Linked DNA regions of Callithrix jacchus. The protein of the gene in region 2 purifies or fractionates together with the protein of the main gene of each other region. This does not show direct contact. Links are inferred from orthologs where the notes say so. Each region holds a gene or a part of one and is shown on either strand. Other genes may lie near its edges. The genes, in order: NELFA and NELFB.

What was found.
Region 1: the proteins of NELFB (region 2) and NELFA purify together in Homo sapiens (affinity purification with mass spectrometry; 8 studies listed by BioGRID and IntAct, counting the BioPlex papers as one, with this or other methods). This does not show direct contact. The link is inferred for Callithrix jacchus from reciprocal best matches to the Homo sapiens genes NELFB and NELFA.

The regions. Positions count from the first base shown.
Region 1 is NC_133504.1:191,136,583-191,140,815, reverse strand, and holds the start of NELFA (negative elongation factor A), read right to left. Parts: upstream 2,870-4,233; 5' UTR 2,855-2,869; coding exon 2,645-2,854; intron 1,999-2,644; coding exon of another isoform or gene 1,953-1,998; exon of another isoform or gene 1,628-1,952; intron 1-1,627. UniProt on the Homo sapiens protein: Essential component of the NELF complex, a complex that negatively regulates the elongation of transcription by RNA polymerase II.
Region 2 is NC_133502.1:185,669,255-185,673,055, reverse strand, and holds part of NELFB (negative elongation factor B), read right to left. Parts: intron 2,967-3,801; coding exon 2,864-2,966; intron 2,591-2,863; coding exon 2,495-2,590; intron 2,082-2,494; coding exon 1,939-2,081; intron 1,825-1,938; coding exon 1,718-1,824; intron 1-1,717. UniProt on the Homo sapiens protein: Essential component of the NELF complex, a complex that negatively regulates the elongation of transcription by RNA polymerase II.

The DNA.
Region 1 (4,233 bases), on a different chromosome or scaffold from region 2:
ACACACAGCAGAAGTCAGTGCAGACGGATGGAAAAGGACAGTCATTCTAATCAACGCTGGGTGCGGACTAGCGGGACTAACTGCACGTCGTGTGGAAAGTTAGACTCCTAGCTCCACACAGTCGTCAATTCCACAAAGACTGAAGACTCAAGTGTGAACGGCACAATGTACAGCTTCGCCAAGATAACCGGGAGTGTTCCCAGCATGTCCTCCAGTGAGACACAGTTGGCACCAATGATGGGGAACTGATGAATACCCCACCTCTGTTAAAACCAGGAGCTGCTCTTCATCCACAGTTCCAGGAAGAAGGCTGGGCACATGGATCACACTTGTAATCCCAACGCTATGGGAGGCCAAGGCAGGAGGATCACTTGAGGCAAGAGCAGCCTGGGCAATATGGTAAGACCCTCATATACACACACACACACACACACACACACAGCCTGGGCAATATGGTAAGACCCTCATACACACACACACACACACACACACACACACACAGACACACACACGTATTAGCCAGGTATAGTGGCGGCGTGTCTGTAGTCCCAGCTACTCCAGAGGTTGAGGAGGGAGGACTGCTTAGGCAGGAGTTCAAGGTTAAAGTGAGCTATGATTATACCACTAGACTCCCGCCCTGGTGACAGAGCAAGATGCTATCTCAAAATAAAAAAATGAAAGAAAGAAAGAAAAAATTCCAGGAAGCTAAGTCAAAGGACAACTGGGAGAGAGTCCTAACTGAAAAAAGACTGTTATCTATAACAAACAATGGTAAGAAATAATAAAAAAGAAAGCCCTTAACAAAACAATGGGAAGAGAATTTAAAAGCAGATTTGAATATACAATTCTCAAAACAGAAAACCAAACAGCAGGCCGAGTGCCATGGCTCACACCTGTAATCCCAGCCCTTTAGAGGCCGAGGCAAGCAGACTGCTTGAGGTCAGGAGTTCAAGACCAGCCTAGGCAGCATGGTGAAACCCTGTCTCTACTAAAAATACAAAACGTAGTTGGGTATGGAGGCGTATGCCTGTAATCCCAGCTACTCAGGAGGCTGAGGAGGGAGCATCACCGGAGCACAAGAGGCTGAGGTAAGCCATGATTGCACCACTGCACCACAGCCTGGCTGACACCGAGAGACCCTGTCTCAACAACACAAAACAAAAAACAGAAACAAAACACTCTGAAAAATAATCTGGCATAATCCCCTGATCCCCACAATGTCCACTCCTAGATATTATACCCTGGAGAAATCCAAGCTTACAAACACCCGAACACATACATCACAATCATGTAGTAACCGCATTATTTACTACAGCAAAAAACTGGCCGTAAGCTGAATGTGTCACTGCGATAGAATGGATGGCTTCGTACTCAGAGAGAGGAATACCACACAGCAGTGAAAATTACACCCGTCAGCTGCAGTGTGGATGAAAGTGTCCCGGGGTCCACCAAGAGGACACATGCATGCCACGCACAGAACACACACTCTGTGAGCCCATCACACGATCCAAATCGGGCAACCAGGCTGTGTCACTTAGGGGCGCGTCACTGCTAACACCAGGGGGATGGCACAGAAACGACTCCCTTTCCAAAGTGTGGGAAGGGAAAGGGAGAAGCCCGTGATTACCAAGGGGCGGCTTCCAAGGAACAGGCACGGTTCTGTCGCTCCACCTGTGCGAGGGTCGCAGGGGTGACTCGCGATGCTATCACTATTCGTTAAAAGTGAACGAACATGTACTTTTCATACATGTTACATCTCAGTCGAAAACAACGACAACCTACGAGAGATGGCAACAGACCAGTGGCCGGGGACCTGTAAGCAACCACGGGGCTTCGACGGTCTGCAAAGCCACTCGGTTTCCTTCGCACGGAAAGCTCACAGTAGAACGTTTAGGAAGAGAGACCACGCGCTTCGCACACCCACTCGCTGGAATGGCGCAAAACCGGCTTACAGAAAAGAGTCCAAAGAACACAGGGCGCTCCGGACGGCTGGGGTCTCTGCGGGGTGAGAACAAGAACACCCGGCTAGCGGGCGGCCCCTTCCTCGCCTGGGTTTCTCTCGGGATCCCCGCCCCCGCCCAGGCCACCAGGGCCACGTCCCCGACGGGAAACCTCGATGGGAGATCCCGCTGGGGCCGGCGCGCCCCCCCCCCCCGAGAGTCCGTCCGTGGGGGAGTGGGCGGCTGAGGACCGGGGCGGGGGAGCCGGGGCGAGTACCCGGGGGCCCAGGGTGGCCAGTGAGGACCCCGGGCCCGGCGGAGAGGGGGTTGAGGATCCAGGGGAGGTGAAAACTTAGGTGAGGGTGAGGACGAGAGGTGGGGAGGTGAGCACCGTAGGGAGGGTTCCCGGATCGGGGCTGAGGTGCGACGGGGGCGCCTGGGGACCCAGGATGGGGATGAGAACTCAGGTGGGGGATGAAGATCGGGGCGGGGGATGAGGACCCAGTGGGAGGTGAGGACTGGGGGGGCGGGGGGAGCTGAGGACCCTGGGGGGACTGACAGTCTGCAGAGAGGTGAGCAGGTGGGAGGAGGGACCGAGGAGGTTCGGGAGCGAGGCCAGGAGTGGGGTGTGAGGGTCGGAGGTGGGAAGGTTGGGGCTCTGGGTCCCAGGGAGGCGCGGCCGTGGGGCGCCCCGCCTGCCTCACCTCATCCACCGTGCGGCGCGGGAGGTGCAGCGTCCCGAGCAGCAACTTGAGCTTCACCGCCGACGAGAGACCGTGAAAGCAGAGACGGATGTTGTCGATGACCGCGGCCGTGAGCAGGGACGCGATGCTGGGCGGCGCCCACAGCTCGTCCGTGGCCCCCAGCTTGTTGTGCAGCCACAGGCCCGTGTCACTCTCCCGCATGGACGCCATCTTGGAAGGAAGCGCGCGCTGTAGCGCCGGCATCTTATGAAGACACCTAGGCGCCCCCGGCTAGGACCCCAACATGGCGGCGCCCAGTGAGATGCGGCCTCCGGGCCGCGGAAGTGGCGCAGGCAGCGCGGCCCCACGAGCGGAGCTTCCAACGAGAGCGCTTCTGGGCGGCGGCCGCGTCTCCGGGAAGCTCTGTGGCAGCTCCGAGAGCCGGATTGACGGGGCGCCGCCGAGCAAGGACTCTAGGCTTCCGTATTGCATCATGGCGGCGCCCGCTGCCGGCTCTCGGAGAGACCCCAAAAGATGACGTCACGAATGGGTCGCGCTTGGAGGTCCGGTCTGCGTCCTGGCGTTCTCAGTGCCAGGTGCCAAGCGCTGAGGAGTCGCGGCTCGCCCGGTGGGGCGGAGGCTCCCGGTGGAACCTGCCCCGCCGTCCGCCCTTCGCTTTCTCCTCACTTGGCTCTCGGCGCGGACCGGGTGGACGCCGCGCCTGCCCCGCCCCCCCCGCCCGGTCCCCGCACCTGCGCGGAGAGGAGCCGCGGCCCTGCGGAACAAGCCTGCGGGATCCCGGTCCCCGCGCTGAGCCCGCTCTGCCCGTTGGGCGCTGCGGACGGGGCTGCGCTGAGCAGTCGGGTCGGAGGGCGCTCGAGGAGCAGTCGCAGGGCACCCGAGACCCCGCAGTGCGGGGAGACCCCTGCTCCCACTCGGGCTGGAGCCGCCGGGCGGGAGCTAGTAGTGAACTTTACAGTGTGACGAGCTTGTCATTAGATACCAACGTTAGTAAAAGTTAAACTTCATTTCCTTATGTTCATTTTACTCTTTTGCCTTTTTGAGGAGCTCTTCCTATGTTGGCCAGGCTGGTCTCGAACTCCTGACGTCAAGCCTCTGATTCCCAGAGTGCTGGGGTGTTACAGACCCGGGCTGCCTGGCCTGGTCTCTGTGTTACAATCTCTTTTTTAAAAAGGTCTTTTCGTTATTCTTCACAGCTCTTGCCACTGGCCGGTGGGAACGCCGGGTGAGAAGGGCGGAGCCGGATGCTAGCAGTGCCCTGGCCCTGGCGGCTCGGCCAGTTTGAACTCCGCAAACCAGCGAATGCTACAGATCAGGGCTGGAGCGGCGGTTTTGTTGCCTGGTTAAACTGAAGAAAGTGATAGAGACAATGTGGATGATGGAGATTACTCTTAAAACTGTGTCATGTCTTAGATGAATAAGTAGAAGAAGAAGAAAAAAAGAACCCTCCCCCAAAAACTGTCATGTCCACAACCATTACATGGCGAATAGCACATAAAATTTAAGAGCATATTTCCTACATTATTTAAAAGTATCTGATTCAGCAAAGACAAGTCATAGACTAATGGGTGAAGTTGTGACATAAGTGG
Region 2 (3,801 bases):
GCCCCTGCTCTCTTGCCTGCCCATCCCATAGGATGCCGTACGAAAAAGCCCGCCAGATGCAGACCCTGGACTTCCCAGCCTACGGAACTGTGAGAAGTCCCTGCTTTTTTTTTTCTCAGGACAGTTGCGCTCTGTCACTCAGGCTGGAGTGCAGTGGTACGATCTCGGCTCACAACAACCTCCACCTCCCAGTTCAAGCAATTCTCCTGCCTCAGCCTCCTAAGTAGCTGTGACTACAGGCACCTGCCATGGTGCCCAGCTAATTTTTGTATTTTTTTGTACGTGCGGTTTCACCATGTTGGCCAGACTGGTCTCCAGCTCCTGACCTCGTGATTCGCCTGTGTTGGCCTCCAAAAGTGCTGGGATTTCAGGCCTGAGCCACTGCGCCCGGCCATCCCGGCTCTTTCTAAATTGCTCCGTCTGGAGTCTCTGTTAGAGTAGCACAAGGCGCACTAAGTCGGCAAACCCCAGACAAGTCAGCAGGGAAGGGCCCAGGGTCCGTGTCACAGCCGCAGTGGGGGCCACATGGCCAGAGTGGTCCCATCTCCCCCATGGGACCTGCAGCTCTACTTCTGAAGGTGGCCATCTGGACCCCTCCTCTTTTTCCTAGTTTGCAACAACCATCCCCAAGGAGGCTCCCAGGGGGAAGAGGGCCTGTCACCGCCTGGGGTGGGGAACTGAGACAGGTGCTCTCCCTCCCTCCCCCTCGCTCTATCCTCTGAGCACCGAGGGGCCCCACACCCCTTGCCAGTCTGGATAAAATAAAGACAGCTCTTGCATCACCTTTTTGTTGGAAAGTACAAAGTTGAACTCCCTCTCCCTTTCTAGTAAAACAGATTGCAGACAAAAACGTGTGAAAACAAGGCCGGGCGCGGACGCTCACGCCTGTAATCCCAGCACTTTGGGACCCCAAGGCAGGTGGATCACAAAGTCAGGAGTTGGAGACCAGCTTGACCAATATGGTGAAACCTCTTCTCTACCAAAAATATAACAGTTCGCCAGGTGTGGTGGCGGGCACCTGTAATCCCAGTTACTTAGGAGGCTGAGGAACTCGGGAACCTGACGTTGCAGTAAGCCAAGACTGTGCCACTGCACTCCAGCCTGGGCAAAAAAGCGAGACTCTGCCTCAAAAAAAAAAGTGAAAACAAAGCTAGCAAAGTCGGAGGTGATCTGGGGAGATGGCAGCTCCTGGGGGCCTGGGACTGCACCCTGGGCAGGATCACACACGGCAGCTGCCACAGGGTGGGCGCGCCAGGCACCACCAGCCAGCACTCACCAGCCCCGGGAGTCAGCACTCACCCAGCCCGGGCAGTCAGCACTCACCAGTCCCGACGGTCAGCACTCACCAGAGGTCAGCACTCACCAGACCCGACGGTCAGGACTCACCCAGCCCCAGCAGTCAGCACTCACCAGTCCCGGTAGTCAGCACTCACCCAGCCCTGACAGTCAGCACTCACCAGACCCGGCAGTCAGCACTCACCAGCCCCGACAGTCAGCACTCACCAGACCTGGCAGTCGGCACTCACCAGCCCCGACAGTCAGGACTCACCCAGTCCCGGCAGTCAGCACTCACCAGCCCCGACAGTCAGGACTCACCCAGTCCCGGCAGTCAGCACTCACCAGCCCCGACAGTCAGGACTCACCCAGCCCCGGCAGACAGCACTCACCAGACCCGGTAGTCAGCACTCACCCAGCCCCTCAGTCAGGACTCACTCACCCAGCCCCGGCAGCAGGCGGAGGAGTGCATTCTTATTCCTCTGCTTGGTGATGTGCAGAACATAGTACAGCCCGACCTCGCAGGCCATGCGCTGCTCCTGCAAAAACCTGTGCCCAGGGCGCCATCAGCACCCTGTCAGCCCCCACTTCGACCCAAGACCAACCCTGCAGCAGCCCCTGGGGAACAGTGCCACCCCTGCCCCTCAGCCCTGCAGCCCATACTTAGTAAAGCTTTCGGGAAGTGTGTTTGGATATGAGACCGGGGCTTTCTCCTCAGCCGGAAGTTTCTGATCCACGTTGAAAGTGTAGTCGTCTACCAGGAAGGACATGAGCATTGGGAGGAACCTGGTGATGAGCTCCACCTCCTAGGAGGAGGGAGGCCGTGAGGGGCCTGGGCCCCACATCCCGCACTCCAGCTGACACACACCCTGCCCTTGGCCCTCCTGCTCCCCCCCCAACATCTTACCACCCCAACCCTCCTCTCCAGGTCGCCAGGCCCCTCTTCCCACCTCCCAAGTCCCCCACCCAGGGCCATCTCCTCAAACCCCCTTCTGGGCCTGGATCCACAAAGAGCAGCAGCCACCCCGTGGCCAGCCGCAGTCAGTGAAGACCCCAGAACACCCCTGGTGGGCATTTTCCCAAAAGGAAGGTTGGCACCTCCAGAAAGGAAGCTTTGGGACCAAAGGGGCCTCCAAAATCACCTTGCTACCACCTTCCCTCCACCCCATGTCCAGCCCACAACCTCTCCTGTGACTCTGCCCCACAGGAGGCTCGTTACCATCTTGGGCTCCTTGAAGACCTGGCTGTCAATCATGTCCCAGGCTCCCTGGCCCAGCGCCAGCAGCCGGAGCAGCAGCAGGAGGTCGGGGCTATCCTGCAGGGAGCACAGGCTCAGCGCATCTTCCGGGCGGCATGTCCTGGGCGCGGAGCTCCTCTGACCCCACTCTCTACCCAGCAGGGTCTCTGGTGCTCATGGCCAGGTCCACAGGACTGGGATCACTGGCCCCACACACAGGGTGAAACCCAGTCTCACGGGGGGAAGCACGGGACTCTACATGGGCCACCAAAGTCCCTACCCCTGACCACCCAGGGCAGCCAGCGGGGCAGCCACAGGGCCCCGGCAGCCGCTGGTGAAGCCCAAGCTCACCCTGGGCAGCGTCTCCTGGCCAACCAGCTCCTGCAGGTGCCTGACTGTGCTCAGCGCCAGCGTGTTGATGGCAAAGGGGTCACACAGGATCATGGACAGGTCCCTGGAAGGAGGCCGCCTTGGCGTTAATGCAACACCTGTTGCCCCTCCCATCAGCGGCAAGGTCCTCAGGAGGGGTGGCCTCCAGGACTGGCAGTGAACGCCCACCACATGCTGGGTTTCTTAAAAAAAAGCTTAAGGTGGCTGGGTGCGGTGGCTCACACCTGTAATCTCAGCACTTTAGGAGGCCAACACGGGCAGATCACGAGGTCAGGAGATTGAGACCATCCTGGCCAACATTGTGGAACCCCATCTCTACTAAAAATACAAAAGCTAGCTGGGCATGGTGGTTCACACCTGTAATCCCAGCTACTCAGGAAGCTGAGGCAGGAGAATCGCTTGAACCCGGAGGCGGCCAGATCACACCACTACACTCCAGCCTGGTGACAGAGCAAGACTCCATTACCACAAAAAAAAATTCAGGTTCGCAATTTGTCCTTAATGCACTCAAAGACCTTTCAAATTAAAGAATTTTAAAAAAACAGCCAAGCACAGTGGCTCACACCGTAATCCCAGCACTTTGGGAGGCCGAGGTGGGCAGATCACCTGAGATCAGGAGTTCAAGACCAGCCTGACCAATGGTGAAACCCTGTCTCTACTAAAAATACAAAATTAGCCAGTCGTGGTGGCACATGACTGTACTCCCAGCTACTTAGGAGGCTAAAGCGAGAGAATCACTTGAACCCTGGAGGCAAAGATTGTGATGAGCTGAGATCACACCACTGCACTCTAGCCTGAGCAACAAGAGTGAAACTCCACCTCAAAAAAAAAAGGAGTTAAGAAAAAAAAAAAAGGTTGGGTGTGGTGGCTCACACTTGTAATCACAGCACTTTGAGAGG